3 linked regions of the Stegostoma tigrinum genome follow. Each later gene encodes a partner of the first gene's protein in a complex. Links are inferred from orthologs where the notes say so. Each region holds a gene or a part of one and is shown in the gene's direction. Other genes may lie near its edges. The genes, in order: pold2, pold3 and rev3l.

Region 1 (10,284 bases):
AACTTGATGTACTCAATTAGTGCTGGGACCTATTATTTCTGTGACTGATGGTGGAGTTGGACTAGGATGATCTTTTGGTTGTATTGTTCACAAGATCAACAAAGACCATCCAATGAAATCTTGTTTGCAATTACAGTTTTCATTCTGAAATGGCCAGATCTTACAGTCAGATTTCAATTTCATGCTGTACACAGACTTCTCAAATGTAACAGATGATAAGTTTGAGGCTTTCTTGCCGAGTTGACATAAAGATCCACCACTTATAATTGATTTGGAATTAAAAATCTGATCCATGGTTTCTTGTAAATAGCAGAGCAAGCGATACCAGGGTGTTACAAGAGTAAAAGGTATTCAAGGTGGAAGTGTTTGGACTTTGTGTTTGTTCAGCAGGATAAGGATTCACTGTACTTACTATAGCAATAGTTTTTGAGGCATATTCAAGCACAGGAGTGACAGATATCTTGGCATGCAAGTCGATATTGTGAAGGAAATTCTCAGGATGGTGAAGATCACATGATAAATGATGCTAATGCAATTACTGACTAAACCTCTGTCATGTGTCCCCAGGCCTTCGGCTGCATTGATCAAAACCGTGATGGAATCATCAGTAAACAGGACTTGAGGGAAACCTTTATGCAGCTGGGTAAGTGAACTGGTCTTTCAGTTCTTGCTACTAATTTCCAGCTATTGGCTGTCCAATGGTTTCAAAGTATTACAGGCATTATGTGATCTTTACACATTTATGAAAAGATATGATGATATTTTCTCATCAAATTGTTCAGAGATATTGGGACATACCTCCGGAACTGGTAAGACGTGAACCCAAATCTCCTGGGATATGGGTAGTCACCCTATCATTGCACCAGAGGAGTCCTGACCAGTGATGTCAGTCTCAAAGTGTTTACCGAGATGACTGGTGTCAGGGATTCAATATTCCTGGCTGGAGAGACGGGTTTTGATGCAGAAGTGCTGCAATTGGTCCATGGACTTCATGGCTGATGCTACCTGGTTTCTAACCCCACAGACCAATCCACTTGCTCCAAGAGGACACTGAGCCATTTGTTCAAATAAAAATGGAAATGCTGTTTGAAAATGATATGAATATTAATGTGTTTGAAAATATTTATAGGTAAGTTGAATACCAATGATGAAGAATTGGAAGCGATGTTGAAAGAGGGAAAGGGGCCAATGAACTTTACAGTGTTCCTCAGCCTCTTTGGAGAAAAACTGAATGGTAAGGACAAGACAGCATGCTGACAGCAATTGATTATTCAATAATCTTATTTAGGTATGTGATGAATCTCAATTCAAATTCTTTCATGTCTGATACTACAGTGGAGATGGAACCCATATTTGGAAGATGCTCCTAGTCAGAAGGTTGTTGAATCTGATTCCCATTCAGGTAGTTGGGCACAAAATCTAGGCTGGCACTCCAATGCAGGACTGGGAGCGTTCACTGTCAGAGATGCGATCTTTTGAATCAAGTGTTCAAGTGAAACTCTCTGTGCCCTCTCAAGTGCACCTAAATGGCACTACTTGTAAGAAACGCAGGGTTGTTCTCACCTGCAATGTCACCGTTATTTGTATCCCAACCAGTATCACTCAAACACAATTTGTGGGACCTTGCTGAGTGTAAATTGGCTGCTGTATTTTCTGTATCAGAACAGTTATTGCCCTGTTTTAAAAACACATGTTTGGCTGTGAAGTGTTTTGAGATGCTCTTATGGGTGTAAATGCAAGTCCTTCTTTCTACTTTCAATGCCACATCATATAATTTCAGCTATTCCAGCCCAAATGCCGGTGCTAGCAACAGCAATCGGTTTGAAGCTTATTTTATCTCGACAGGAACTGACCCAGAAGAAACTATTGTGAACGCCTTCAAACTGTTTGATCCGCAAGGAACAGGGCATGTCAAGAAGGATGAGTGAGTTACAAAGTCATTTAAATAGTGAGATAGATGGCACCTGAAAATGTTTCATGAGGATGTACTTTTAGTATTTCAGCTGACATCTTCATCCTGTAAATTTCATAATTTTCAATATAATGTGATTAGCACCAGAGCTGCATACTGACATTTTGTCCATAAATCAGTTAAGCCAATTGCTTACTTTTCTGACAGTAATGCTCTGAGATGTCCTGCTTCTACAAGTTTTTTCACACCTCTTGAGTTGGAAGTACTGACCCCGCATAGAGACAGATGCTGTATTTTTCATATTTACACTAGTCTGTGTGTGCAGTGCTTTAGAATAAAATGCTTTGGGGTATGGCTGCAGAAAGTTTTATATTAGTGCTTGAGTAATCTAAAGGCGTGGGCGGATGATCCGAAGACATGACTTTTGCTAGTTGCCAATTGAGCAATTTAATTTCAGACAATTTGGAAACGAAAAGCCAGGATCTTTATTGGTGACCTTAGAGATTCTAGCACACAAGACGGTCTATTATCCTGAAGATGTGAAAAGTGCTGTTGAGTTGCATGCAACATTGTTCAAATCACTGACGGAGAATAAAGAAAATGCTGATTAGATTTCATACAAGTGAACTAATGATGGATTAAATGAAGATAACTCTGTACCATTAGGTTCAATCCATTTATCATCTAATTTGGCAATACCATTAAAATTTGCTCCTTAACTTTAGGTATGTTTTCTTTCTGCTTTCATAGATTTAAAAGACTCCTGATGACACAAGCTGATAAATTCAGTGCAGATGAGGTGAGATTTTGCTGTCTAAATGTAAACAATGTAAAACATTTGAGGTATTTCATATTCAAAAGCATTCTCAATTAGACTTTGGGAAGAAGCAAACCCATCACACAGTTGTATTTGAGGTGGAACTAAACTATTTAGGGAAAAGAATTGTTCCAGGGAAAATTAACTGCCCACAAGGTGGGGCAGCAACTTGTGGAATGCAAATTTTTACTGAGTATAGCTGTCTCATAGATGATTGCTCCCTCATGGAGTAAAGGTCTCTGTCCCACTAACTCTGAGTTACTTCTGTTCTTTGCCTGAGCAACTTAACAGCATTAACCTCTTTGTCTGGTGACTGACACTTACCCAAGTGGACGTGGACGGTTGAGAGGAGAAGTAATTGGGAGAATAACAAAACACGAGGGATCTGTCAGAGTAGATCGGAAAAACTGTTCCCATTGGGGGAGACATTCGGAACCACAGGGTACAAATTGGTAAATGAAGCAATGAAGACATGAGGAGAAACGTTTTCATGCAGCAGGTGTTTCGGATCCAGAAGGCACCACCTGAGAGTACGGTGGAGGCAGATTCAAGCAAGGCAGATGCAATCAATCAAAGCCAATAAGATTGTGATCCGAGATGAAACAATGTGCCAGGCTCTGAGAGGAGGCTAGTGAGGGGCACAAAGTAAAACTTGCTCATCCAGAGAGCTATCACAAATGCAATGGACTGAATATTCTCATTCTGAATATTATTGTGCTCAGCTGCACAGACCAGAAAGTCGAGATTTAATTCCTGGTCTAGATATTTTCTAATCATCCTGGTCAGAGATGTTATCACTTGAACTGGCCCTCCTGGCTCACAGATAGTTACACAACTCCTCCACCACAAGAGCTTCTAATATTTCCCTTCTGTGCTGTTAGCATTCTGTGACTCTGGGTGGTTATCTAATTATGAGGAAACAGGGCTATGAATCGCTAGTTCTCTAAATGGTGAAGACTAATTGTTCAGTTAGTGTTTCTCTAACCAAAATTGAATAAGCCTGGGGTGTCAGGCATGAAGAATTTCCTGAAGTTGAAAGGGATATGGAAAATAGCGTTGGAAAGCACAGTGTTTAGGACTTTATGAAACTGTAGTTTGTTCATGATCATCAAAAGAAATTTATTGTAGCAAAGACATTTGAAAACCAAACAAATTATTTAGTTTCCTCTATATGTGTGACCCTGGCAGCCATCTGACCTGCTGTTGCGTGCTCATTGCTTTAATAATCCCTATTCCTGTCCTTTTCTCCCCACAGGTAGAACAGATGTTTGCTGTGACTCCCATTGATGTTGCAGGAAACATTGATTATAAATCACTGTGTTATATCATCACACATGGAGATGAGAAAGAAGAGGCCTAGTTTGAATGTTGTTGATGTCTGGCTTCTGCAGTCATCAGTGAAAAATCAGTGATAATGATCGTTGTGAATCAGCTCTAAAGAAAACATGGCTACTCAGAATAGGCAATTTATACTTCAATGTTCAGCTAAGCACAACTACTCATATCAGATCGTGAAGCTCACTCTTGTACTAGCTCACAGCCATTATTAAATTGGTTATTACATGCCATTTTGACACGTTTGTCTCTTGTTGTGTAATTGTTGGCTTCTCACTCCTATGGTTCAATGATTATGGGTTTTTGACCATGATTACTGAGATTGTGGATGCTGACTGGATATGAGGGGCGAGCCTGGCTACACACATATGCGCACTTCAGTGGGAGACATGCTGTAATAATGAGACAGGAACCAGTCTGACATTTCCCTCCAGAACCTTGCACATTGAATGGTATTCGGCACAGACTGTAGCAAAGCTGGGATCTTCCTGTACCACGTGACTCAGTGACTGACTGAATAAACACCCTCTATCATTGGCCAAGCAAATCTACTTCTCTTCCAATAGCTTGATCATACTCAGGCAAACTTGCCTCGGTAACAACTCGCAATAAGTTTGCACTTTTGGGCTCCTCAGGCTGTTTCTCCATTTTCATTTTAAAATATGTAGTGTCACTGCGATTCTATGGAAAGATTCAACAATAAATCAATTGACTCAGTGTCTTTGATAAAGTTAATGTTGTCATTTTGAGTGTGTGTGTGTGTGTGTGTGTGAGAGAGAGAGAGAGAGAGAGAGAGGGAAGGGGTTAGGGTGTGTGTGTGTGAGAGAGAGAGAGAGGGAAGGGGTTAGGGTGTGTGTGTGTGGGGGGGGGGGGTGGTCTGGCACTTGAATTCTTCATTTCCTGTGGTCATAGTCAGTCTGGGGTCTGTCCACCCAAAGTGAAGGGTGTATTTAACCAGGGGCTACTTATGTTGGAGGGAAACTGATGTATTTAATTCTGGCAATTCAAAGTAAAAGAAGGGAAAATAACTGTGAAGGGAGAGGGAAACTCAACATCTAATGAGGAGGAATGTTTAAGGACATGGATTACTTCAGGAGCAATGGAACATTGATGGGTGTCACCATGATGGCCTGTCATGTTCAGTGAAATATCTGTTTGAATAACACCCAATTGTGTCTTTTCAAGATCTCATGTACATGCGAGGTTCTGTCTCACTTCTTCCCAGCCAATAGATCAACTGTCGGTCACTTTGACAACTTCTGGCCGGACTGAAATTCACCCCTGAATCCCAGTCAATTTACTCCCCTTGCCTCAGCATGAGGTTGAAGTTGCATCATCACAGAATTGTCTTCCGGTTTGCATCTGTTGAAAAGCTGTACAGTGCAGCATGATGTTTGGCACGACTATGCTGTTGGGCCAGGAATCAGTGGTCATGTTGATAGGAATGCATCATTCAGAGTGGTGTGTGGGAACATTTGGAAGCTTGGTACTGAAGTCAATAGGGAATGCTCGAAAGAAAGGCACACTGCTTCGTTGGGAGGACCCTTAACAGCCAGGCTGAGCCTCTGACTCAAGCATGACCTGTGTTGACTTCCATTCCCATGCACATAGGAAAATCGAAAACAGCTGCAACTATCCTAGGAGTGGGCAAAGTGTCTTATTTTCTTTCTGAGCATGTGGGCTCAACCTGTGAGTGAAAGGAGGCCTTTCAAGGAGCAATTACATGAATCAAGCTGAATTCATAGTCCACACCAAAGTCATCAGTAATCTTTGTGTCATGCATGTGAAATACATGCAGTGTCCAACTGTGAGGTGCAAATCCTGGTTATAAGACAATTTGACAGTGCTGTTGGTCATTGCTGATTGAAGATTTACATCTCAGGAGACTTTAAATGTGGCAGCTGTGTGCCACAATCCACAAAGAGCCAGAACTAATTTCCTTGTTGCGGTAGGAATGGGGAGCAGTTCTTGTTCCATCTTAAAAATTGTCTAATTTATTTTTAAAATTACATTACAAACGCCTTGCACTACATCCAGGGATGAGAAGTCCTGTTGCCGTTCCAACCACGACAGTGGACTGCCTCCAGAGAGTACACAAGCTGTAGAGCTGGATGAACACAGCAGGCCAAGCAGCATCAGAGGAGCAGGAAAGCTGACATTTCGGGCCTAGACACTTGATGAAGAAGGGTCTCGGCCCGAAACATCATCTTTCCTGCTCCTCTGATGCTGCTTGGCCTGCTGTGTTAATCCAGCTGTACACCTTGTTATCTCAAATGTTACACTGAATACGTCAGGCGAGAGTTGGATCGAAAAGTTGGTCTGATGCCAGTCAGAGAGAATATGGTGCCAGAAAAGTTTGGGCGGGGCTCGTGCTGGAGGAGCACTGGGAACGTGTCCGAAACCTATTTCCTTGGAGATCTGTCTAAGATGGCACAATCGGGGAGGGAGTACCCGAAAAAACGGACGTAAAATTTAAAATCGAGCCGCGTGAGCGGAATCGTTCGGAGAGAGAACACGGAGAACGATCTTCAGGCCTTGGGTGAAAAACGGAGGCGGAACAGCCGCCTTCGAAACATGAAATCGCCCCTCAGTAAGATGGCGGTTTTGAAAAAAAAAAGCCCCGCAATAAGATGGCGTCTGCGTTGTTGTCGTCGCCCCGCGCGCGGTGACAGATCGTTACGTGTTGGTAGTCCCACGCGTGCGCGCCGCTTGGCGGGAATCTCCCAACGGAAAACCGTCCCCGCGCTAAACCCGAGGAGCCGAAACAACGGCGGGGATCGAAGAGAAGTCCAACAAAATTCACGGCGCCGGTGGGTCTGCCAAGGCTCAGAAAGGGAGAGTGGGGGCGTATTTCTTCTTCCCTGCTAGCCACTCATCCACGCTATGTTTTCTGAGCGGGCGGCCCTGAGGGAGCCGACTCTGTTGTCGGCCCCGCTTCCGGCCCAGCCGGGCCCGACTTTCCCCCGGGTCACGGCCGGCTCGTACGAGAACCGTTCCGGCAGCTTCAGGCTGGGAGAGCGCTCTTTCCAGTGCCAGTACGCGCACATCTACGCCGTTCGGTTGCTGCAGATGCGTCCGATGGTGGAGGAGAGAGCCAGAAGGAAATGGGGTGAGTGCTCCTCTCTCTCACACACACACACACACACACACACAACCCCGCCCCGGGTGGGTTGTAAATAGGGAACAGCGTTCGCCTGAACCGCAGTGAAATACTCCGTCTGTATCGTGCCTTAATGTTATTGCAGGGTTGAATCTGCTGCTTTCCAAAGCGGCTCCACGGTCACCGTTAACTCTTGATTTTCTGTTCACACATGCTGCCGGATCTGCTTGGCTTTTCCAGCAACTGCTGCTTTTGTTACTGATTCTGTTGTGTTTCGCAGGAGCCGATCTGCCGGTGAAGAAGCTGTGTGAGCTGCAGGTGGGCGAGAAGTGTTGTGCGGTTGGCACCCTCTTCAAGCACATGGAGTTGAAACCATCTATTCTGCGGGAAATCAGTGAGGAGGTAGGAGGCCGAACCTGGGACCCATCTCCTTTTGAACTTCTTGAGGACGCACTGTCGACCTTAACCTCTGCTGAGCACCCTTTTATTTAGCTGTCAGGATAAGACCAGAGAAACTGATGTCTTCAAATTTTTAATCAGCATCAAACCATGTCTTTATTTCTTTGCATGGCGAAGGATCCTAGATTAGAATTCAGCAAAACAGAATTTGTGTACCTCTAACTCCCACTGGGCTGATTGTCAGGGTCTGGACTCTGGCAAAAGTGTCACCCTATTGGTCCTTTAAGAGTGTACAGGAATCTGATGCATCGTTATTCCATTGCACTTGTTTGGAGTGGTGTGTCATTCATTCAGATGATGGCTGACCTAGTAGTGGTCTCGACTAAACTTTGGTCTGCACTTGTGTACTTAATTGTTTAACAACTAATGACCTGCAAGAAATAAGAACCCAACCAAAGTTGTGGGTAACATTGCTCAGCCCCTTCAGTGTGTTGACCACTCAGTGGCACCTTGGCTGATCTGACCTTTCTCATGTCCACTTTTCACAGTATGTTTGTTTTCCAGGGGAAGAGCTCCAGGGGTTCTTGCACTCTGCTTAGTCAGTTTAAGTGGTCTGGTGGTTATCCATTTTCTTCTGCTTGTGGAATCTCAGCCTGCTGTGTGCCCACCTCTTTGTACATGGTGTCCATAATAGTCTGAACTTCACTGTTCGTGTTTCCACATGCCACTCTGTTCCGAAACTGGGGCCTCCTGGAGCAACTGATCGAAACGCTTTCTGCACTCATCCTGGCCTTGGGCACCGGAAACATGCCCGACCTCCTGAAGCAGTAGGAGCAAATTAGGGCTTGGAGCTCTCCTGTTATGACTTCGTCCTTTGAGTTAGAAAATAGGAAGAGACGTAAGCCGTTTGGCCCTTTGAACCTGTCATCATGGCTAATCATCCGACTCAATAGCTTTTCCCCTATATCCTTCAGTTGCTTTTGCCCCACTGGTATATCCACCAGTCCTCCAGGACCTTCCCGTGCTCAGGCGATCCCTGAAAGATCACCATCAGTGCCCCTATAATCTCCTCAGCTATTTCCTTCAGAACTCTGGAGTGCACTGTCTGCTCCAGGTGATTTATTGACCTTCAGACTTTTCAACTTCCCCATTACTGTTTCCCTCATGCCCCAAATTCCCTCAGACCTCAGTTTTATATTCAAGAGCAGGAGTACTCATCTTGAGAAAATGAGGGACAAATACGCTGCTCTGTGTTTTACCAATAAAATGGACTGGAATAAACTCCATTCAAATATATCAAAGAGATAGCCTAGACTCTGACTTTTTCTGATTTAAAGGCGATTGTAAGATGTTGTATTCCAGATGTAATTTTATGGCCATCTGTGTGTGGAGCCACAGTAGATGGACGAGAAACAAAACAAGTACTTCATGTCATTGATTACTATAGAGAAGGGTATGGAAGCTTGATAACTTGGAATAGTGATATTTTGAAATGTGCCTGTATAACAAGAGGGGGTGCTGGACATCTTGAAATGAATAAAAGTGGAGAAACCCCAGGGGCTGATGAGGTGTATCCCAGCGCTTTGTGGAAAATTGGGAAATGATTGCTGGGCCCCCTGCTGAGATATTTGTATTACGGAAAGCTACAGATGAGGTTCCAAAGACTGGAGGTTGGCGAACGTGGTACCATTATTTCAGAAGTGGTAAGGAAAAGTGAGGGAACTATAGACTGGTGAATCTGATATGAGTGGTGAATAACTTGTTGGAAGGGCTTGTGAGGGCTGGGACTGTATGCGTTTGGAAAGGAAAGGACTGATTAGGGAGAGTCAACTGGCTTTCTCGAGTTTTTTATTTGAATAAGTAACAAAGAAGATTGAAGGTGGAGCAGTAGACGTTGTCTATTTGGATGGCAGCAAGGCGTTCAACAGGGTTCCGTGAGGTCGTTAGTAAGGTTATATGACATGGAATCCAAGGGGAGTTAGCTAATAGGGTACAAAATTGGCTTGAAGGTACAAGACAGGGTCATGGTGGTGGAAGGTTGTTTTTCAGACTGGAGGCCTGTGACAAGTGGTGTGCTGCAAGACTGGTGCTGGGTCCACTGCTTTTCATCATTTTTCTAAATGATTTAGGTGTGACTATTAGAGGAATGATGATTAAGTTTGCACATTACAAAAAAGATCGTGCAGAAGATGATCTCACATTACAACGCGGCTTTGGTCAGGTGGGCCAATGAGCCGAGGGGTGGCTGATGCAGTTTAATTGAGGTAAATATGAGATGTTGCATTTTGGTAAGGCAAACCGATCAGGACTTCGACAGTTAATGGTAGGTCCCTGGGGAGTGTTGTCAAACAGAAGTACTGAGGAATGCAGGTGCATAGTTCCTTGAAAATGGAGTTGCAGATAGACGGGGTTCTGAAGAATGCATTTGACACACTTGCCTTCATTGGTCAGTGTATTGAGTACAGGAGTTGGGAAGTCATGTCACAAGCTGTACAGGACATTGGTTAGGCCACCTTTGGTATACTACATTCCATTCTGGTCTCCCTGCTAAAGGAAACATGCGAAACTTGAAACGTTTCAGCAAAGTTTTACAAGGATGTTGACTGAATTGAAGTGTTTGATCTATAGGGAGAGACTGAACAAGTAGAGGCTATTTTCCCTGGAGTGTTGGAGGCTGTATGGTGACCTGACAGGTTTGTAAAATCTTGAGGGCCTTGGATA
Region 2 (9,805 bases), on another chromosome or scaffold:
TGAAGTACATTTAAGCCATCATTGGACAAGCATATGGACGTACTTGGAATAGTGTACGTTAGATGGGCTTGAGATCAGTATGACAGGTCGGCACAACATTGAGGGCCGAAGGGCCTGTACTGTGCTGTAATTTTCTTATAAAAACCTTCTCTGGATCCCCTCCAACACTAACACATCGTTCCTCACATACAGGGACAAAACAGCTCACAATTTTCCAACTGCGGTCCAATCACAATCTTATACAGCCTCAGCAGATCGTCTCTGCTCTTTATTCTAGCCCTCTTGAAATGAATGCTAACATGGCATTTGCCTTCCTGACTGCAAAATATTTCTGAGCTAGGACTCCCAAGTCCCTTTGCTCACTAACAAACATGCTTCAAAATCTCCCCGTCCCCCACCACATCCCAAAACCAGCCCAGTTCGTCCCCTCCCCCCACTGCATCCCAAAACCAGCCCAGCCTGTCTCTGCCTCCCTAACCTGTTCTTCCTCTCACCCATCCCTTCCTCCCACCCCAAGCCACACCTCCGTCTCCTACCTACTAACCTCATCCCACCTCCTTGACCTGTCCGTCTTCCCTGGACTGACCTATCCCCTCCCTACCTCCCCACCTATACTCTCCTCTCTACCTATCTTCTTTTGTCTCCATCATCAGTCCGCCTTCCCCTCTCTCCCTATTTATTCCAGACCCCTCACCCCATCCCCCTCTCTGATGAAGGATCTAGGCCTGAAACGTCAGCTTTTGTGCTCCTGAGATGCTGCTTGGCCTGCTGTGTTCATCCAGCCTCACATTTTATTATCAGGAAGATAGTGACCTTGGTTCTGCAAGAATGACCTTGTTTGTGGTAACAAATGATACTGTTCCATCACTTTGTTGATGATTGTGAGCAGACTGATGGGGTGGGAATTAGCCAAGTACTGAGGAGGTGGGGAAGCTGCAGAAAGATTTAGACAGTTTAGGAACGTGGTCCAGGAAATGGCTGATGAAATTCAATGTGAGTAAATGTGAGGTTTTGCATTTTGGAAAAAAGAATACAGGCATGGACTATTTTCTAAATGGTGAGAAAATTCGTAAAGCAAAAGTACAAAGGGATCTGGGAGTGTTGGTCCAGGATTCTCTAAAGGTTAACTTGCAGGTAGAGTCCGTAATTAAGAAAGCGAATGTAATGTTGTCGTTTATCTCAAGAGGGTTGGAATATAAAAGCAGCGATGGGCTTCTGAGGCTTGATAAAGCTCTAGTTAGGCCCCATTTAGAATACTGTGTCCAATTTTGGGCCCCACACCTCAGGAAGGACATACTAGCCCTGGAGTGTGTCCAGCAGAGATTCACACGGATGATCCCTGGAATGGTAGGTTTAGCGTATGATGAACGGCTAAGGATCCTGGGATTGTACTCATTAGAGTTTAGAAGGTTGAGGGAAGATCTAATAGAAACTTACAAGATAATGTATGGCTTAGAAGGGGTGGACGTTAGGAAGTTGTTTCCGTTCCATTGAAATGCCCATCAGCCATGATTTAAATGGCAGAGTGGATTTGATGGGCCGAATGGCCTTACTTCCACTCCTATATCTTACGGTCTTATACATTTGTACTGTTTTTTGGTGCACAGAAAATACTTCAGATTCATAGAGTTAGTCATCGAGTTGTATAGCACAGAAACCCAATGGTCCAACTCATCTATGCTGACTAGATATCCTAAATAAATCTAGTCCTATTTGCCAGCATTTGGTCTATGTCCCTCTCAACCCTTCCAGATGCTTTTTCAATGTTGTAACTGTACCAGCCTCCACCACTTTCTTTGCCAGATCATTCCAAACATGCACTGTGAAAAAGTTGCCCCTTAAGTCCTTTTAAATCTTTCCCCTCTCACTTAAACATATGCCTTCTAGTTTTGGCTTCCCCACTCCAGGTTAAAGGCCTTGTCTATTTATCCTATCCATGCCCCTCAATTTTATAAACCTCCATAAGGTTATCTCTCAGCTTGCGACGCTCCAGGCAAAGCAGCCCCAGTCTATTCAGCCCTACCCTATAGCTCAAGCCGTCCAACCCTGGCAGCATCCTTGTAAATCTTTTCTGAACCCTTTCAAGTTTCACAACATTCTTCCTAAAGCAGGGAGAACAGAATTGCATGTAGCATTCCAATAGTGGCCTTACCAACATCCTGTATGTCTGCAACATGATCTTCCAACTCCTATACTCAGTGCATCGACCAATAAATGTAAGCATACCAAATACATTCATTACCCCATCTATCTAACTGCAACTCAATTTTCATGGAATAGTAACCTGCACTCCTAGAAAATCTGCCACATTTTTGGGTAGACGCCAATGTTGTGGCTACAATAGAACACTTGGCTCAGTAAATTTGTAGCTTTTCAAATTTTGGAGCACAACTGTTCATGACCTTTGCTGGAACGTTGCCAGGACCCATTGACTTTGCACTATCCATTAACTTCAACTGTTTCTTAAAATCATGAAGTGAAGTGAATCAAATTGATTGAAAATAGGGAACCTTCACAGGCTGAGATGGATCATCTATTCAGCCCTTTGGATTGAAGATGGATGCAAATATTTCAGCCTTGTCTTTTGAAATGATGTGCTAGGCTCCTCATCCTTGATGATGGGATATTTCTGAAGCCTTTTCCTCCAATGATTCACTTACTGACCATTACTGTTCACAACTGGATTTGGCAGGATTGCAAAGTTTAGTTCTGACCTGGAGACAATAAGGACTGCTGATGCCCGAATCCAGAGTCTTCAGACCCTTAGTTCTGATCGGTTAGTTGTGTAATCCTAGTGCTGCCTAATACTTGTCATTTGGCACACAAATAGTCCTGCGTTATAGCTTCATCAGGTTTTCACCTCATTTTAAGATTTGCTCAGTGATGCTGCTTGGAGCCCTCCTGCACTCTCCATCGAACATTGTTACTTAAGTGGAGGAGCAATTCATGACCCAAACACATTACATTGGACATACAACCTAAGGGGACTCAGTATGAACCTCAGGAAAATCACATCAATGCCATTGTGTCACCTGGCCCAAGTCTCCCTTGTTGGTTAGCACATTAAATTTTGGAGTTGGGAGGTCATATTCTGTTCTTCCTATCAGAAAGATGTTGTGAAACTTGAAAGGGTTCAGAAAAGATTTACAAGCATGTTGCTACATTTGAGGATTTGAGCTTTATCGAAAGGTTCAATTGGCTAGGGATATTTTCCCTGGCAAAGGCTGATGGGTGACCAGATAGAAGGTCAGAACGACCACGGACAAGGTGAATAGTCAAGGTCTTTTCTCCAGGGCATAGATTTAAGGTTAGAGGGGAAAGATTTAAAACAGACCCAAGGATCAACTTCTTTCATACAGAGGGTGGGGAGTGCATGGAATGAATTGTCAGAGGAAGTGGAGGAGGCTGGTACAATTGCAACATTTAAAAACCATGATGTGGCATGTGTTGGACTGGGGTGGACAAAGTCAGAAATCACAAAACACCAGGTTATAGTCCAACAGGTTTATCTGAAATTACAAGCTTTCCGACTGCTGCCCCTTTGTCAGGTAAAGCCCTGATGAAGGAGCAGTGCTGCAAAAGCTTATGGTTTCAAACAAACCTGTTGAACTATAACCTGGTATTGTGTGATTTCTAACATATGAAAAGCATCTGGATGGGTGTAGGAATAGGAAGGGTTTAAGAGGGATACAGACCAAATACTAGCAAATGGGACTAGATGAATTTAGGATGTCTGATTGGTACGAACAAGTTGGACTAAAGGATTGGTTTCCTGCTATACATCTATCTCTGTGACTTTATTAAATTTTGTTTTATCGCTACTTGGGGTAAAAGTGCCACTGGACTGGAAATATTAATCCTGTTTTCTCTGCATATATGATGCCCAACATACTGACTTTTTCCAGCAATTTTGTGCCCAATTTCCAACATCCACAGTTCTTTGATATTTTTTGTTTCATCACCACTTGGGGACCACCTTGGGATATTTCAAAATCAAAGAATGGTCACAGCATAGTAAAGTACCATTCTGAGATAACAAAGTGTGAAGCTGGATGAATGCAGCAGGCCAAGCTGCTGTGTTCATCCAGCTTCACGCTTTGTTATCTTGGATTCTCCAACATCTGCAGTTCCCATTATCTCTGATCACAAAATACCATGCTAGCTCTCTTCAGAAGCATTTTGGCTAGTGCTACTACCCTGCTTTTTCCTGTAGCTCTGCAAATGTTTCTTTTTTCAGATTATCCAATTACCATTAAAACCTATCCTCACGACATTTTCAGGCAGTATATTCCAGATCTTAATCCCTTGCTTTGGGAGGATGCGTTTTTCCCCTCACGCCTCGGTTTCTTCTATAGCCAATTCTGTTAAATCTTTGTACTCGTGTTCTTGGTCTTTTCACCTGTGGGAACTCCTACCTACTCCATACAGACCAAAGTTGTTTTTATTTTCTTTTCCTCCCCTCCTTCTGCACGGACGTCGGAGGTCGGTTATCTTCAGGGGCTTCCAAAAGCAGAAATCATGCAACAGCCTGACGATCTATGGGAGAGGTTCTGGGCAGTGTTCAAAGGAAAGTTAGTCGGCACCTCTCATCAGTTCGAACACCTCAATCAAATCTCCTCTGACCTGATCTGCTTCAAGGAAAACAGTCCCAACCTCTCCCATCTATCGATGTGACCCAACATTGACTATTACAAGTTTATAAACAGTGAGACTCTGTACTGGGTTTCTAATCATCACAAAACCTTCAGGCAGATAGTGAAATTCAACAACAAAATGTGAGGCTGGATGAACACAGCAGGCCAAGCAGCATCTCAGGAGCACAAAAGCTGACGTTTCGGGCCTAGACCCTTCATCGGAAAACGGGGATCCTTTATACCGCAATGCATTCTAATTTCATAGGCTCTTAAATAAATTGAGCTTGAACCGAGTTTTGAAAATTCAAACATTCCTTACCAATTCAGATGAATGTCACCAGCTCAAACCTGCAGCGTCGCCATCTTTGTAACCTTTAACCCCACCGCAATCCTTCGGCAGTAAAATACTTTATACTCATTTGCCCCCTCGTTGGTTCATGTTTTGCAATCCCCATGAAACGCCCTTCAGTAAAAAAAAAACAATGATTTTATTGTACGGTGATTTCTTTTCAGGGGTCCGGGCGACCGGCCTGGTTGCCGGGGAAACAGGCTCCTGCCAGCCGATGACCCTTGACCCCGAGGTTTCCACCGCCCCGCACGCGCAGGCTCCGCCCGCCGTAGACCCCGCCCCGTGACCTCTCACCCCTCCTCGCTTTCCCGCTTCGGCCGCGATGATGGAGGAGCTTGAGCTGCTGTTGGAGAATATCGAGGAGCTGGTGGCGGATGAGAACCGGATCGTGAGCGGGGGCAGGGTGTGAGGGATTATACACCCGGGAGAGAGGGACGGGGTCCGAATACACACCCGGAATATGTGTGCGCGCGCGCGCGTCCGGGATGCCGGGGGGGGCGTGTAAGGGGGAATATATATACCCGGGGTGGGTGGGTACATGAATGGGAGAATGTATGCCCAGGATTGGGGGTTGGAAGTGTGAGGGAATACATGGGGGGAATGGTGTTGGTGCGGCGGGGAATATACACCGCAGATGGGGGATATTCCCCCAATGTGGGGTTGAATATATACTAAAGAGAGCAGTTGCAGGGAAATATGTTGGAGTAATAGGAACATATGTCCTTGGTACGGAATGGATATACACCCCATTTGAAATGTAATTTCTTGTCTTGCTGCTGTACCTGTTTTTCTAGTTGGATTTTGTTTTTCAGGTCACCTACAAGATGCTGAGCCAGTTCCTGGGCATTCATGTCAACCAGGCAAAACAGTAAGTTCAATGATTTGTGAGACACCTTGCGTCACATTCCACCATCAAATAGTATGCAACAGAACCACTTCTCACAGTCAGATTTCCTGGAGAGGGATCCCTGTGTCACCCACATCTGCGGTGAGGAGTGGAGGGAATGGGCCAAATGTGAAGAGATTGTGGGTATAACAGTTGTGTGTGCTTCATTAGCATTTTGCTATCTGGCATCCTTATTGTTGTAAAACATGTTGCAATAGGTCTTGATAGCCTCAGGTAGGAACAGATCAGATAATAGGTCAACCGTAGTTCTTTCTTTTCATCTGACATAAATTGGAATGGTATGCATGTTGTGGACATATGTGTCACAGTTTGAAGGATGTGTGTCACACTTGTAAAATCTGACGTTAAATTTTCTAATATTTGAATATCATTTGTAAGAAAAAGCTTGCATTTATATTGTGGTCTTGTATAATAGAAGGTAAGATAATATTATAAGAGCAGGCATAGGCTATTTGGCTACTAGGTATAATCATTGCTGACCATCTGTTTTAGTACGCTGTTCCTACTTTGCCTGTGTACCCTTTGATCCCTTTAGTCCTGAGAACTATATCTAATTTCGTTCTTGAAAGCATTTAATGTTTTGGCCTCAACTGACTTCCGTGTCAGAGAATTCCACAGACTCACCAATCTCTGGGTGTAGAAGTTTCTCCTCAACTCAGTCCCCATATCCTTAGATTGCCACTGCTGGTTTTGGACATTTTCCTCATTGGGAAATCCTTCCCAGTTCCCAGCATTTTCCCAGTCCAATCCGCTTATAATTTTATAGATTTCTGTGAGAAAATGCCAGTAAATATAATCCCAGCCTGTCTTGATGCTTCAAGACCCGCTGAGGTTTTCCAGCACTTTCAGTTTCTATTCCACATGACCTCCCTGTTTACCAAGTCTCTGTTCATCTGTGTCTCCTTTCATGGCTGAGTGCCAAGTTTTAGATTTAATAGTTGTGAGATGCTCCGGAATGTTTTTCTATGTTAAAGTCGAGTTTAAATGCACTCGAGTTTAAATGGATGTTATTGAGAATTCTGGAGCTGATATTTTGAGTTTCATAGAATCCCTACAGTGTGAAAGTAGACCATTGGCCCATCAAGTTCACACCCACCCATACCCAATTCCCCTGCCTCATCCCTGTAACCCTGTATTTCCCGTGACTAATCTACCTAGCCCACACATCTTTGGACTCTGGGAAGAAACTGGATCACCCAGAGGAAGGCCATGCATGCAGATATGGGGAGAATGTGCAAAATCTACACAGACAGTTGCCTGAGGGTTCCTGGCACAGTGGAGCAGCTGGGCTAACTCCTCGGCCGCCCAAGATTTAGTGCCATTTCAATTGTTGCTACGTATTGGCTGCCCATGGCTATCTTCCTGTTACTAACTTTAGTAGCCCTCTTTTGCTGAGAGATTCTGCTAGGGTCCATTAAGGAGTTTGTATGGATCTTTTAGCAACTGCTTTTGAAAACAAGGTTTGTCTGCCTGGTTGTGAGACCGATCTTGTTCACCAGTTTAGCTTTGTTGCAAGAGGTTTTGTACCTTTAACTGTGTCATTTTCTCTTCTGTCTGCTTCCCAGAATGCTTTATTACTACGTGGAGCGAAAGCGGAAAGAAAATTCTGGAGCCCAGCTCCATGTGACGTATCTCGTGTCAGGGAAAGCAGTCGAAAATGGAATATCGGTATGTCTATTTGGAACAATTAGTGACATCAGAAAAGTCGACATTAGGAATTGTCAGGACCACTTTTTCACATCCTCTCACTTTTCTATTGTGGAATGCCTAAGGGCAAATAGCCCACCAAGTTTGTGGATTTCATCGCAAACAAATCGCATTCACCTCATCTATCCTTTAAGACCGCTCCCAGTCTAATCCCACTTTTCTGCTCACTCCATGTATCCTTTAGTTAGATTATCAGAAGTAGGAGCAAGGGGAAAGTATTGATCCGTCAATGCAGTTTAGTCGTTCAATAAGATGACAATTGATATGATTACAACCTTAACATCATTTTCCTGCATGTCTCCCCTTCATATTTCCCCCACCATGACTACCACCACCACTCTCCCTTAACCTTAACACTACTTGTTGGTCTGAAATTTGCCTAACTCACCACTGAATATAGTCAATGATCCAGCCTCCACTGTTGTCTGACGTAAAGAATTCCAAAGACGAATTATCTTTTGAGAGAAGAAATGTTTCATGTATCCACCTCAAATGAGAAGTTCCTTATTTTGAAATAAAAGCAAAGTATTGAAGAACTGAAATTAAACAAAGTGTTGAAGAAACTGCAGATCTGGCAGTATTGGTTCTGAAGAAAAGTCATTGCACGCTAAACATTAATTCTGTTCCTCTCTCGCAGATGCTGCCAGATTCTAGTACTTTCTTCCCTCAATTTGAAATATCCTCTCAGTTTTCAATGTCAGAATCCCATAGGATCTTGTACATTTGAATGGGGTCACCTCTCATTACTAAACTAATTATTCAGCCCCTTTTATGATAATCTATAGCTTTATCAGCCTAATTACTCTACTCATTCTTTAAAATATGGTCCCATGCTTGCTTCGGGGATGCATGTATCTCTGGTGTGCCGCTCAGTCACATACAGTAAGAGAATCTCAGGTTCCAGCCTTGATCTGTACTGAATTAGCTGATCTCACCCAGGACATACTTGATTGCTACAGTTGGGCTCAATGCTGCTTGCTGGGGAGAGACTTGCTTCCTGATCTCTGTTACAACAGCACCCTCCAACATAAGCACTGACAAAGATTACAACTGGCATCACATCATCACAAAGGCTTTCTTAAGCAGAATTGGTTGTATGGGCTTGAGATGCTGAGATGTGGCCTGGTAGTCTATCCTTGGATAGAGAGTTTAACTGGCTGGCTGATCACCCACTAACTCCAATATTGCTTTATTCCAGTGTCACAAGGTAGCAGTGGTGAGAGAAGATCAGCTGGAAGGTAAGAGTAGACACCTACACTTAACCCAGTTATCCACATCTGCAAGCCCCTCAAGGCTTTGACCAATTGTTTCTTGGAGACAACAGCATCTGTCTTTTGTGATACTGTGATCCTTCTGCACCAGGCACAGTGCTCAAATTGCGTGTGTTGAAATGAGAAACATCAACTCCCCCTCGGGAGAACAGAGAAACTAAATAGTTCTATTTTGAGGTGAGAAACCCGTTGGGCAATTCTGCCCTTTGCTCATTGGCCAGTTTGAAAGAAGGAAATAGATGTTCTGACTTAGGAGTTACACAAAGTTTTCAGGTACAGCACATAATCGAGAAGGCTAATGGAATGCTATCCTTCATGATGAGAGGAATTGAGTATAAAATTGACAATGTTCTGCCTCAATTATACAGAATGTTTTGAGACCACATCTCAAGTACTGTGTGCTGTTTTGGCCTCCTTATTCAAGGAAGGATACAATTGAAGGTGGTTCAGAGGAGGTTTACTGGATTGATAACTGCAGTAAGTGGGTTGTTTGATGAGACTAGTTTGGTTGGAGAGGGGTGACTTGTTTGAAATACATAAGATCCTGATGGCCTTGAAAGGTGGAAGTGGAAAGCATGTCTCCCTTCGTGAGTCAGTTCAGAACCAGGGGCCAATTTTAAAATTAGGCTTCATCCTTCCAGGACAGAACTTGGGAGTAGAATTTTTTTCTGAAGGTTGTGAAACTCTGACTCAGAAAGCAGTGGGGGAGTTATTGAATTTTTTTCAGACAGTTCTTTAGGATTGGATGGGAATGTGGAATTCTAAGCAAACAGATGAGTCATGATCTTGTTGAATGTGAAGTAGACTTGACAGGCCATATGGTTTCCTTCTGCTTATGTTTTGAGTATTCATATGGCCTACATTGGCTCCCAGTTAAGCAGCCTCAATGTTTAAAACTTATGAATTGTTTTCAATCCGCTCTATCTCTGTACTACCT
Region 3 (10,241 bases), on another chromosome or scaffold:
CCTCTATCCATCTTCGATCCGCCTACCCATCTCTCCCTATTTATTTCAGAAGCCTCTCCCCATCCCCCTTTTTTGATGAACGGTCTAGGCCCGAAACATCTGCTTTTTTGCTCCTGAGATGCCACTTGGCCTGCTGTGTTCATCCAGCTCCACACTTTGTTTTTTGGGTAATTAATTTGTTGGCCAGAACAGATACAATAGGTGAAGCATCTTTTTCTGTGCAGTAAGATTTCTCTGATTCAGTAATTCTGTACAGTGCTGCACCTATGTGCAGTTTTGGTCTCCTTTTTTGAAAGAGAAAATAAAATTGCACAGTAAGAATTGAGAAAAGGTTCACTTAACTTATTATTGGGATGAAGGGCTTATTTTATAAAGAAAGACTGAAGACATGAGAGCTGCAATTGTTTAGCAGAATTACAGGTGGCTTCAGTGAAACATATATGATGCTTGGGAGGGGGTGTAGGGCATAGGAAAGTACCAAGGAGAATGTTTCCACTTTCAGAGAGTTTAGAGCTAGAGCACATGGTTTGCGAATAAGAGGTCTGCCTCCTATTTAGGATGGAGATGAGGAGATTTTATTCTCCTTCAGAGATTTATTATAATGTGAAATGGTGCTTCTGGACACCACAGTGGCACTGGTTAGTGGTTAGTACTGCTACCTTATAGCTCCAAAGGCCTGGGTACAGATCTAACCTCGGGTTTGCACATTCTTTCAGTGTCTGCATGGGTTTCAGCTCTGGTTTCCTCCTCCAGCTCAAAGGTGTGCACACTAGGTGGATTACCCATGGTGAATGTGGGATTATGGGGTTGGGATAATCGTCGGAGGGTCAGTGATGACTTGAAAGGCTGAGTGGCCTCTTTCTACAGTGTAGGGATTCCATGAAATTCAATTCAACTTGAAAGCAGTAGAGAGATAGACAGACAGAATCAATACAGTGTGAAGCTGATGAACACAGCAGGTCAGGCAGCATCAGAGAAGCAGGAAAGTCGATGTTTCAGATTTACATCCTTCATCTGGACTGGGGGGAGGGGGAAGGGACCTGGGAAATAAATAGAGGGAGGACGGGTGAGGCTGGGGGAAGGTAGGTGGGATGGTGATAGGTGGATGCATATAACGGGTAGTAAAGAATGGTCAGTGGGATGGGTGGGGTGGATCGGTGGGAAAGAAGATGGACAGGTAATATAAGATCAAGGAGGTGGGGATGAGAGGGAGGGTTGGACATGGGGTGAGGCCAGGGTTGGGGAGATTTTAAAAGTGGTGAATTCTATGTTGACACCATTGGGATGTAGACTCCCAAGGCGGAACATGAGGTATTGCTCCTCCAGTTTGCGTGTGGCGTCATTGTGACAAAGGAGAAGGGCCAGGAAGAGCATGTCACCCAAGGAATGGGAGGGGGAGCTAAAATGGTTGGCAACCGGAAGGTGTTGTTAGAGTGCAGATGCTCCGTGAATTGGTCACCAAGCCTCCACTTGGTCTCGCTGATGTAAAGGACGCCACATTAAGAGCAACAGATACAGGCATTTGATAAGGTTCCCCACAGCAGCCTCATTCATAAAGTCAGTAGGTATGGGATACAGGGTGATTTGGCTGTCTGCATTCAGAATTGTTTGGCTGACAGCAGGCAGAGAGTGGTTGTAGATGGTAAGTATTCTGCCTGGAGGTCAGTGTTGAGTGGTGTCCCACAGGGCTCTGCTCTTGGGCCTCTACTTTTTGTAGTTTTTATAAATGACTTGGATGAGGAGGTTGAAGGGTGGGTTAGTATGTTTGCTGATGACACAAAGGTTGGAGGTGCCGTTGATAGTATCGAGGGCTATTGCAGGCTTCAGCGAGACATTGACAGAATGCAGAGCTGGGCTGAGAAATGGCAGATAGAGTTCAACCTGGATAAATGCGAAGTGATGCATTTTGGAAGGTCGAACGTAAATGCTGAATATAGGATTAAAAGCAGAATTCTTGGCAGTGTGGAGGAACAGCGGGATCTTGGTGTTCAAGTGCATAGCTCCCTCAAAGTTGCCACCCAGGTGGATAAGGTTGTTAAGAAAGCATATGGTGTTTTGGCTTTCATTAACAGGGGGATTGAGTTTAAGAGCCGCGAGGTTATGCTGCAGCTCTACAAAACCGTGGTGAGACCACACTTGGAATATTGTGTCCAGTTCTGGTCGCACTATTATAGGAAAGATGTGGAGGCTTTGGAGAGGATGCAAAGGAGGTTTGCCAGGATGCTGTCTGGATTGGAGGGCTTGTCTTACGAGGAGAGGTTGACTGAGCTCGGACTTTTCTCTCTGGAGAGAAGGAGAAAGAGAGGCGACCTGATCGAGGTGTACAAGGTAATGAGAGGCATGGATAGAGTCGATACGCAGACACTTTTCCCCAGGGCAGGATTGACTGCCATGAGGGTTCATAGTTTTAAGGTGTTAGGAGGAAGGTATAGAGGAGATGTCAGAGGGAGGTTCTTCACCCAGAGAGTTGTGAGTGCATGGAATAGTTTACCAGTGGTAGTCGTGGAAGCGGAGTCATTAGTGACATTTAAGCGACTGCTGGACATGCACATGGACAGCAGTGAATTGAGATGAGAGTAGGTTAGGTTATTTTATTTTTGGATTAGCGTTATTCCACGGCACAACATCGTGGGCCGAAGGGCCTGTACTGTGCTGTACTTTTCTATGTTCTATGTTCTATGTTCTAAACCAGGTTGGAGGATGTACAGGTGAATCCCTGCTGGAATGGGAAAGGCCTTGGACAGAGGTGAGAGGGGTGGTGTAGGGGCAGGTGTAGCACCTCCTATGGCTTCAGGGCAAGGAGCTGGCTATGGTTGGGTTGGTGGGGAGGGCAGAGCAGTCGAGGGAGTTGCGGTGAGAGCGGTCCCTATGAAAGGCAGATGGGGTGGGGAGGGAAAAATCTGTTTGGTTGTGGGATCAGATTGCAGGTGGCGGAAGTGATGGAGGATGATGCCATGCATGTAGAGTAGGGGTAGTATGTGAAGACCGAGGGTCTAGGCGCGAAATGTCAGCCTTCCTGCTCCTATGATGATGCATGGCCTGCTGTGTTCATCCAGCTCCACGCTTTGTTATCTCGGATTCTGTCCTTATTTTTGTTAGGGGGATGGGTTTTTGAGGGCAGAAATGCGAGAAATGCAAGAGATGCAGTTGTAGGCACTTTTGATCACTGGAGGGGAGAAGTTGCAGTCCTTGAAGTAGGGGAACTTTTGGGATGTCCAGGAGTGGAATGCTCCATCTTGGGAACAGATGCGCCCAGAGATGGAGGAATTGGGAGTAAGCAGGAGAGGCTGGATTATTGGATACATTCAAGGCTAGATGTAATTTCTGAAGAAGGGTCACCTGACCTGAAAACATTAACTTCGATTTCTTATCATGGATGCTGTTAGACTTGCTGAGTTTTTCCAGTAATTTCTGTTTTTGTTTCTAGATATTATGTGTGGATCCGCAGGAGATGGGTGAGATGCAAAATCAACATTTTGCATCAGTTTTACTGTGGAGAAGGATGTGGAAGCCAGAGAGCATGGGGAAATAAATAACGATATCTTCAAAAATGTCCATGTTACAAAGGACAAGGCGCTGGGCATCTGAAAATGTATAAAGGTAGGCAAATCCCTGGGACCAGATCAAATGTACCCTACAATTTTATGGGAAGTTCGGAAAGTGATTGCTGGGCTCTTGCTGAGATATTTGTATCATCAATAGCCACTGGAGAGTTGCTGGAAGACTGGAGGTTGGCTAATGTGGTGCCATTATTTAAGAAAGACAGTAAGGAAAAGACAGGGAACTACAGACCGGTGAGCCTGACATCAGTGGTGGGCAGTTTATTGGAGGGGATTCTGAGGGACAGGATTCACATGTTTTTGAAAAGGCATGGGCTGATTAGGGATGGTCAACATGGTTTTGAGTGTCGCAAATTGTATCTCACTAATTTGATTGAGTTCTTTGAAGAAGTGACGTAGAGGATTGATGAAGGCAGACCTGAGAACATTGTGTATATGGACCTCAGTAAGGCGCTTGACAATATTTTGCATGGTAGACTGGTTAATAAGGTTAGATCACATGGAATTGAGGGAGAACCAGCCATTTGGATACAACGTTGGCTTAAAGTGTGGTGGTGGAGGGATGTTTTTCGGATTGGAGGCCTGTGACCAGAGTGTGCCGCACTAATAGCTGCTAGGTCCACTGCTTTATGTCATTTGTATAAATGATTTGAGTGAAAATAGGAAGCATGGTTAGTTAATTTGCAGATGACGCCACCATTGGTAGTGTAATAGACGGCGAAGAAGGTTTCTTCAGAGTACAAGGGGACCTTGATCAGATGGGCCGAGGAGTGGCAAATGGAGTTTAATCTAGACAAATGTGAGGTGCTGTATTTTGGTAGGGCAAATCAGGGAAGGACTAATATAATCAATGGCGAGGTCCTGGGGAATGTTGTTGAACAAAGAGACCTTGGAGTGCAGATGTATAGATCCTTGAAAGTAGAGTCACAGGGAGACAGGGTAGTGAAGAAGGTATTCAGTACACTTGGTTTTAGTGGTCAGTGCATTCAGTACAGGAGTTGGGAGGTCAGGTTGCAGCTGTACAGGACATTGGTTAGGCCACTTTTGGAATACTGTATACAATTCTGAAGGATGTTGTTAAACTTGAAAGGGTTTAGAAAAGTTTGACAAGAATGTTGCCAGAGTTGGAGGGTTTGAGCTATAGGAAGAGGCTGAATAGACTGGGACTATTTTCCCTGGAGCATTGGAGGCTGTGTGATGACCTTTTAGAGGTTTATAAGATCATGAGTGGCATGGATAGAGTGAAGTCAAAACCTTTTCCCCTGGGTAGGGGAGTCCAAACTTGGAGGGCATGTGTTTAAGGTGAGAGAGTAAAGATTTATAAGGATCTAATGGGCAACTTTTTCACACCGAGAGTGGTGCACATATGGAACGAGGTGCCAGAAGAATTAGTGGAGGCTGGTTTAATTATGGCATTTAAAAAGCATCTGGATAGCTATATGAATAGGAAGAATTTAGAGGGATCTGGGCCAAATGGGAAATGCTGAAAAATTTAGGATATCGGTCAACAGGGACAAGTTGGACCAAAGGGTCTATTTCCATGTGGTACATTTCTTTTGACTCTATTTTAGATAGACTCCTTAGAGAAACCTATGAGTCATCACATCACAGGTGAAGGGCCATGTTGGGAAGGAGAGACTATCATGGTAACATCAGCTGACAGAGGTATTGAAGCCATGCATCGATGGAGATAATCAACCCTCCTGAACCTAACTCCGGATCATGCAACCACTAGTTTTTAATGGAAAGCTGGCCGTTGCCTCGAACTAAATCGCACTGCGGCGTGCTGCCCTATGCTAGCCCACATCTACATCTTGCAACGCAAAGCGACGTCGAACCCCAGTGTCAATCAACTCGCTCCCTCGAAGGGGGCGTGGAACAAACCAATCGGCGCAGGCGGAAAGGCAGTGACGCAAGTAGCAGAGCTCCAGCCAATGGTGAGGGAGGTCTCTCGGACGAGATGTCAACCGCTTGTCAGAGCCTCGGCCGCTGACCAATCAGTGTGCGAAACTGGGCGGGCGGCGGGACTGAGGCCAATGGGAGAGTGGGGATTGGGGAAGGTGGGCGTACGGGAGGCGGGATCAGGCGGAACCCCGCCCCCCTCCTTCCCGGTCTGGCGGCGGCGGTGGCAGCCGTTGCTGCAGTGCAGCTCGAGGAGAGGCCGGCGCTTGCTGTCAGGCAGAAAGAGGCGTCTCCGTAAACAGCAGTAACAACAACAACAACAACACAAGCCTGCCGTGTCAGTCACTCCGGGGTGATGCGCGGCACCGGGCAGGCGGCTGGAAGCTGTGCCCGGAGGATGAGGGAGAGAGGCCGGGGCCATGGATGCACCGTGATGGGCACAGTCAGTGCACAGGCGCGCAGCCTCCCCCTCCTCCCTCCCTGCTCCTGCTAATAAACCCACCCCCCCCCATTAAAAACCTTACAGTACGGCCTGACCCTCACCAACCCCTCCACTTACAGACTCTCTCTGCCTTTTTTTTGAAAGGGACTGGGGCATTTTCCCCCTGCTCCTTTATTTATTTTGCCCACCCCCACCAAGTATTTAGGATGTTTGCAGTGAGGATTGTCACCGCTGACTACTACATGTCCAGCCCCATCAAGGGTCTGGATGTCTGCTTTTCGGAATTCCGAGAGAGCGAGGTGACCAGAGTGCCCGTGGTTCGTATCTTCGGGCCGACACCTGCAGGTAAGCTGGCCTGTGTTGTTGTGAAAATGTTGCCCACAGCACCGCAGTAACGTCCCCACTGCGGGGCTGTTGCAGAGGGGCAGGGTGGGTGTGTTCTTGTGGGGGCGTGGGTGTGTGGTTTGGTCGTTTGGGAGCTGCCTGTGGTCTCGCTTGCCATTTTGTTTTAACCCTCCCGGGGGCTAGAACATTTGCTAACGGCCTGTCTCACTGCGTGTGCACGTACAAAATCGTATTTACATGTGAGTTTAGAATGTGCACGACCACCCACAGCACTGTCCTCTGAATGGTGTTACCCTCCCACCCTTGTGTTTCTACCCCCACCCACGCACCCCACGGTGTGGGAGACTTCATGTTGTCAGACCTAGCTGTGCTCTCGTGTTTTCGCTGGGGATTGTGCGTTTTATTTTCTTTCTCTTTATTTCGAAACTACTTAACGGTCCGAGGAAGGCGAAAATCGTTTGAATGAACTGTATCCAGCGAAGGAGGGGGGAAATATGCAGATCTTTTCATTAATTGTGAAGAGGAATCTCTCTTTTTGCCCCAGGTCACCATGCAGCTCCCTGTGTTTAGTTGAACCTTTTACGGTATCGAGAACAGAACAAGCTGCTTTTGAGTTAACTATGAAGCTCAAGGGATTATATATTTAAAAAAAAACTAGAGGGTAGCCATGGCCACCCCACCGCCAATAACACAAAAGGTGTGGTTTTTAAACAAATACATATTCTCATTATCTTCCATGTATTGAAATAATATTATTTGCATACTGTAATTGTTGACGTTAGTCGCCATGTTTACTTTAGGGTATCTTGCATATCATTTTCCTGGTCAAAGCTGTACTGCACTTGTCAAATTTGTCTGCCGTTGTAAATATGGGTCGTATATCTTCTGTTGTGGAATTGAGGCGATAATTCTTCCTGCATGTTGTGAGAATGTGTTCTGCCTTTTTAAAATCAGGACGGATTTTTTCAAGCCCTGCGGATTCTAATGAAGTGCAGTGATTCAGTTTTCTTTTAAATAGAGAAGCGCTGAAGATGGGAAGAATTCTTGACAGCTGTAGATTTTCACCTTGCTTTGATATAGGCATTTTTGCATGCTTAATGTGCAGTGGATCTGAAGAGTTTGTTTACTGCAAAATATTATCTTCAAGTTAGTCTTATAGTTTGCCTTGTTCCTTACCTGAAGTTTAATTAGAGGTAGCAATCACTGTTTCATGGTTATGATTGACTTAGTGATAAGAGGCAGAGTGTTACCTGGGTCTGATAGCGTATCATAGGATTCAGTGCTGGTTCCTTTTTCATTTTAGTGTGCACTAATGATCTAGACATTAATCTAAGAGGTTTGAATGGTACGTTTGCACATAGCACAAGTGTCAGGGTAAATAGCAAGGAGGAAAGCTTTAGTACAGGACTGTTTGGATGGGCTGGTCCTATAGGCAGAACACTGGCAAATGGAATTTAACTCTGAAGAGTGGAGATGGGGCATTTTGTGAGAACTAACAAGGGAAGGAAGTACACAATGAAAGGTAGGACACCACAAAGTACAGTGGATCAGGTGGATCTTGGTGCACATGTCCAAAGATCCTTGAAAGGAGTGCAACAGGTAAACAGATAGTAGGAACTGCAGATGCTGGAGAATCTGAGTTAACAAGGTGTGGAGCAGGATGAACACGGCAGGCCAAGCAGCATCAGAGGAGCAGGAAGGCAGATGTTTTGGGCCCAGACCCTGCTAATTTGGGCCTGTTTTTATGATTTGCTTCGCCATTTTTGATTTCATGTACTGTCAGAATGACAGTTGAGTTGGTGTTGTCTTGTGATCATATCCACTTACTGCTTACCTGTAAGATTTTCTGGCGGTAGGCAAGGGCTTGGCATTGTGCTTGTACTTTGGCAATTCCTAGTGTGGTCTGGTTGCTGTGATCTCAGCGAGGAGAGCGAATCAAAAGGTAGAAACGCTGGCCACTAGCCGGAAATAAGAGAGGGGAAAGGATGACAGATATAATTGGCAGTGAGAAAGAGTAGAGTTGGTGATGAAATCTGTCAGTGGTTAGTGCAGTGGTCCCCACCTCTCAACTTCAGGGCCTGGCCCAGGAACTGTCTGCCGTTGTGTACTGGGTCCCAGTTGGGAGGGAGTCGCTGCTAGCACTGGAGAAACCAGAATCTGTTTTGTTTTTTCTCACCTTTTGGGTTTCCAGTAAATCTCCGACCCAAAGCTGAACAGAGAAGAGTCCCCTGAGAAGAGCCGCATCACATTATCACCAACTCATTCAGAATCAACCTGTTGCACATTCAGCTATTCACTTTTGTTTTACCCCTTTTGAAGCGGAGCTTTATTATTATTTGTTAGGCTATAGTTTCCAAATTTATGGTATAGTAAGTACCACCCACTTGATATTTAAGGTATGTCGTTTTAACCCTAACCCTAACGCAGCTGTCAACTAAGTTACTAGAAATTCCCACTTTCAATCCTAACATACAAATTGCAATGTTTTCCCTTCCATTAATGTAGTATTTCTTCAGAATTTATGACATTTTTGTCAGCAAGTGAGCTAAGAATGCACCTTGTTGGTGTATCTTACTGTATTTCAACTTTGTTTTTCTCGGCCAACAGATGTCCAAAGGAAGCTAATGCTGCTTTTAATGTTGATCGCCATGTACTGACACTGGAGGGTTGTTTTCCCTTTCATTCATTCATGGGATGAGGCTGTTGCTGGCTAGGCACCATTTATTGTCCATCCCGAATTGCCCAGAGGGCAGTTCAGAATCAATCACATTGCTGTGGGCCTGGAGTCACATGATCGTCAGACCACATCTGGTAAGGATGGCAGTTTCCTTCCCTAAAGGACATTAGTGAACCAGATGGGCTTTCCTTGCAATCGAGAACGGTTTCACGATTGTCATTAGATTCTTAATTCTAGACATCGTACTTAAATCAAATTCCACCATCTGTTGTGGTGGGATTTGAACCTGGGTCCTCAATGTTATCCATGTCTCAGGATTAACAATCCAGTGATTATTACCACTAGGCCATTGCCTACCCTTTACAATGTTGACGCCAGAGTTGAGATGGTTGCCTTGGGAGTGATGAAGTAGACTGGGACTATGCTCACTGGAATTTTGAAGAATAAGGGCCATTTTCAGAAACACAAAATTATGAAGGGAATAGATGAGCTAGAAGGAGGGATGTTGTTTAGACTGGGAGGTTAAACTAGAACTCAGGGGCATAGCCTCAAAATAAGGGGGAGCAGATTTAGAATTGAGTTGAGGAGGGACTTCTCCACCTAAATGGTTGTGAATCTGTGGGATTCCCTGCCCACTGAAGCAATTGATGCTATCTTGCTGAGTGAGGCGGAATCCACAAAAAGATCTGTCATGATCTTATTGAATGGCGGAGAGGTTTAAGAGGCCAGATGGCCTACTCCTTCTCCTATTTCTTACATTCTTATGATTTAACTGAATCTGACTTCTCTATTACCAGTCTACTTGACATAATGTTCCTGTCCATGACAGTATTGGGAGGAATTTACTACTACACTGTGAACACAAAGTTGTATCTTCATACTGGAGATATCATCGGTCAGGTTGTGTGATGCTACTACCCATCAAAATGAATAGATTGAGAACAGATCTAGCAGCTCCAGTGTGGTCAACTACAAGATGCAGGGTCATCAACAGCAGAATTGTATTCAGTCTCAATCTGGAAGCTTGTGGTCTTGTGTATTCCCCACTAAACAATTGTGATTAATCCTCCTTTGATGAGCAATGCAGGAGAGCATGGCATTAGCAGCTTCAGACATAACTAAAAATGATATGCTAACATTTTAAGGCTTCAATAAAAGATTATTTTTGTGCTACACGGTGGAAGCAGCGTGCGGTAGCCTGACCTGAGTGATTCACGAACCAACAAATCAGATCAATGCTGTTGAGGTCCTGTCAAGTTGGTCATGAATGTTAGTGGACTGTTAAGAGGTTCCACAAACATACATGCACCATTGA

The links.
Region 2: pold2 (region 1) and pold3 share a complex: the UniProt entries of both Homo sapiens proteins name them as parts of the both the DNA polymerase delta and DNA polymerase zeta complex. The link is inferred for Stegostoma tigrinum from reciprocal best matches to the Homo sapiens genes POLD2 and POLD3.
Region 3: pold2 (region 1) and rev3l share a complex: the UniProt entries of both Homo sapiens proteins name them as parts of the tetrameric Pol-zeta complex. The link is inferred for Stegostoma tigrinum from reciprocal best matches to the Homo sapiens genes POLD2 and REV3L.

What each region holds. Positions count from the first base shown.
Region 1 is NC_081393.1:10,600,808-10,611,091, forward strand, and holds the start of pold2 (DNA polymerase delta subunit 2), read left to right. Parts: upstream 1-6,302; 5' UTR 6,303-6,947; coding exon 6,948-7,173; intron 7,174-7,444; coding exon 7,445-7,566; intron 7,567-10,284. Other genes in the region: myl7 (myosin regulatory light chain 2, atrial isoform), read left to right, coding at 568-643, 1,130-1,234, 1,846-1,924, 2,663-2,711, 3,985-4,089. UniProt on the Homo sapiens protein: Accessory component of both the DNA polymerase delta complex and the DNA polymerase zeta complex.
Region 2 is NC_081359.1:111,413,806-111,423,610, reverse strand, and holds the start of pold3 (DNA polymerase delta subunit 3), read left to right. Parts: upstream 1-5,275; 5' UTR 5,276-5,305; coding exon 5,306-5,386; intron 5,387-5,795; coding exon 5,796-5,851; intron 5,852-7,455; coding exon 7,456-7,558; intron 7,559-8,795; coding exon 8,796-8,835; intron 8,836-9,805. UniProt on the Homo sapiens protein: Accessory component of both the DNA polymerase delta complex and the DNA polymerase zeta complex.
Region 3 is NC_081357.1:23,897,367-23,907,607, forward strand, and holds the start of rev3l (DNA polymerase zeta catalytic subunit), read left to right. Parts: upstream 1-5,677; 5' UTR 5,678-5,885; coding exon 5,886-6,249; intron 6,250-10,241. UniProt on the Homo sapiens protein: Catalytic subunit of the DNA polymerase zeta complex, an error-prone polymerase specialized in translesion DNA synthesis (TLS). Lacks an intrinsic 3'-5' exonuclease activity and thus has no proofreading function.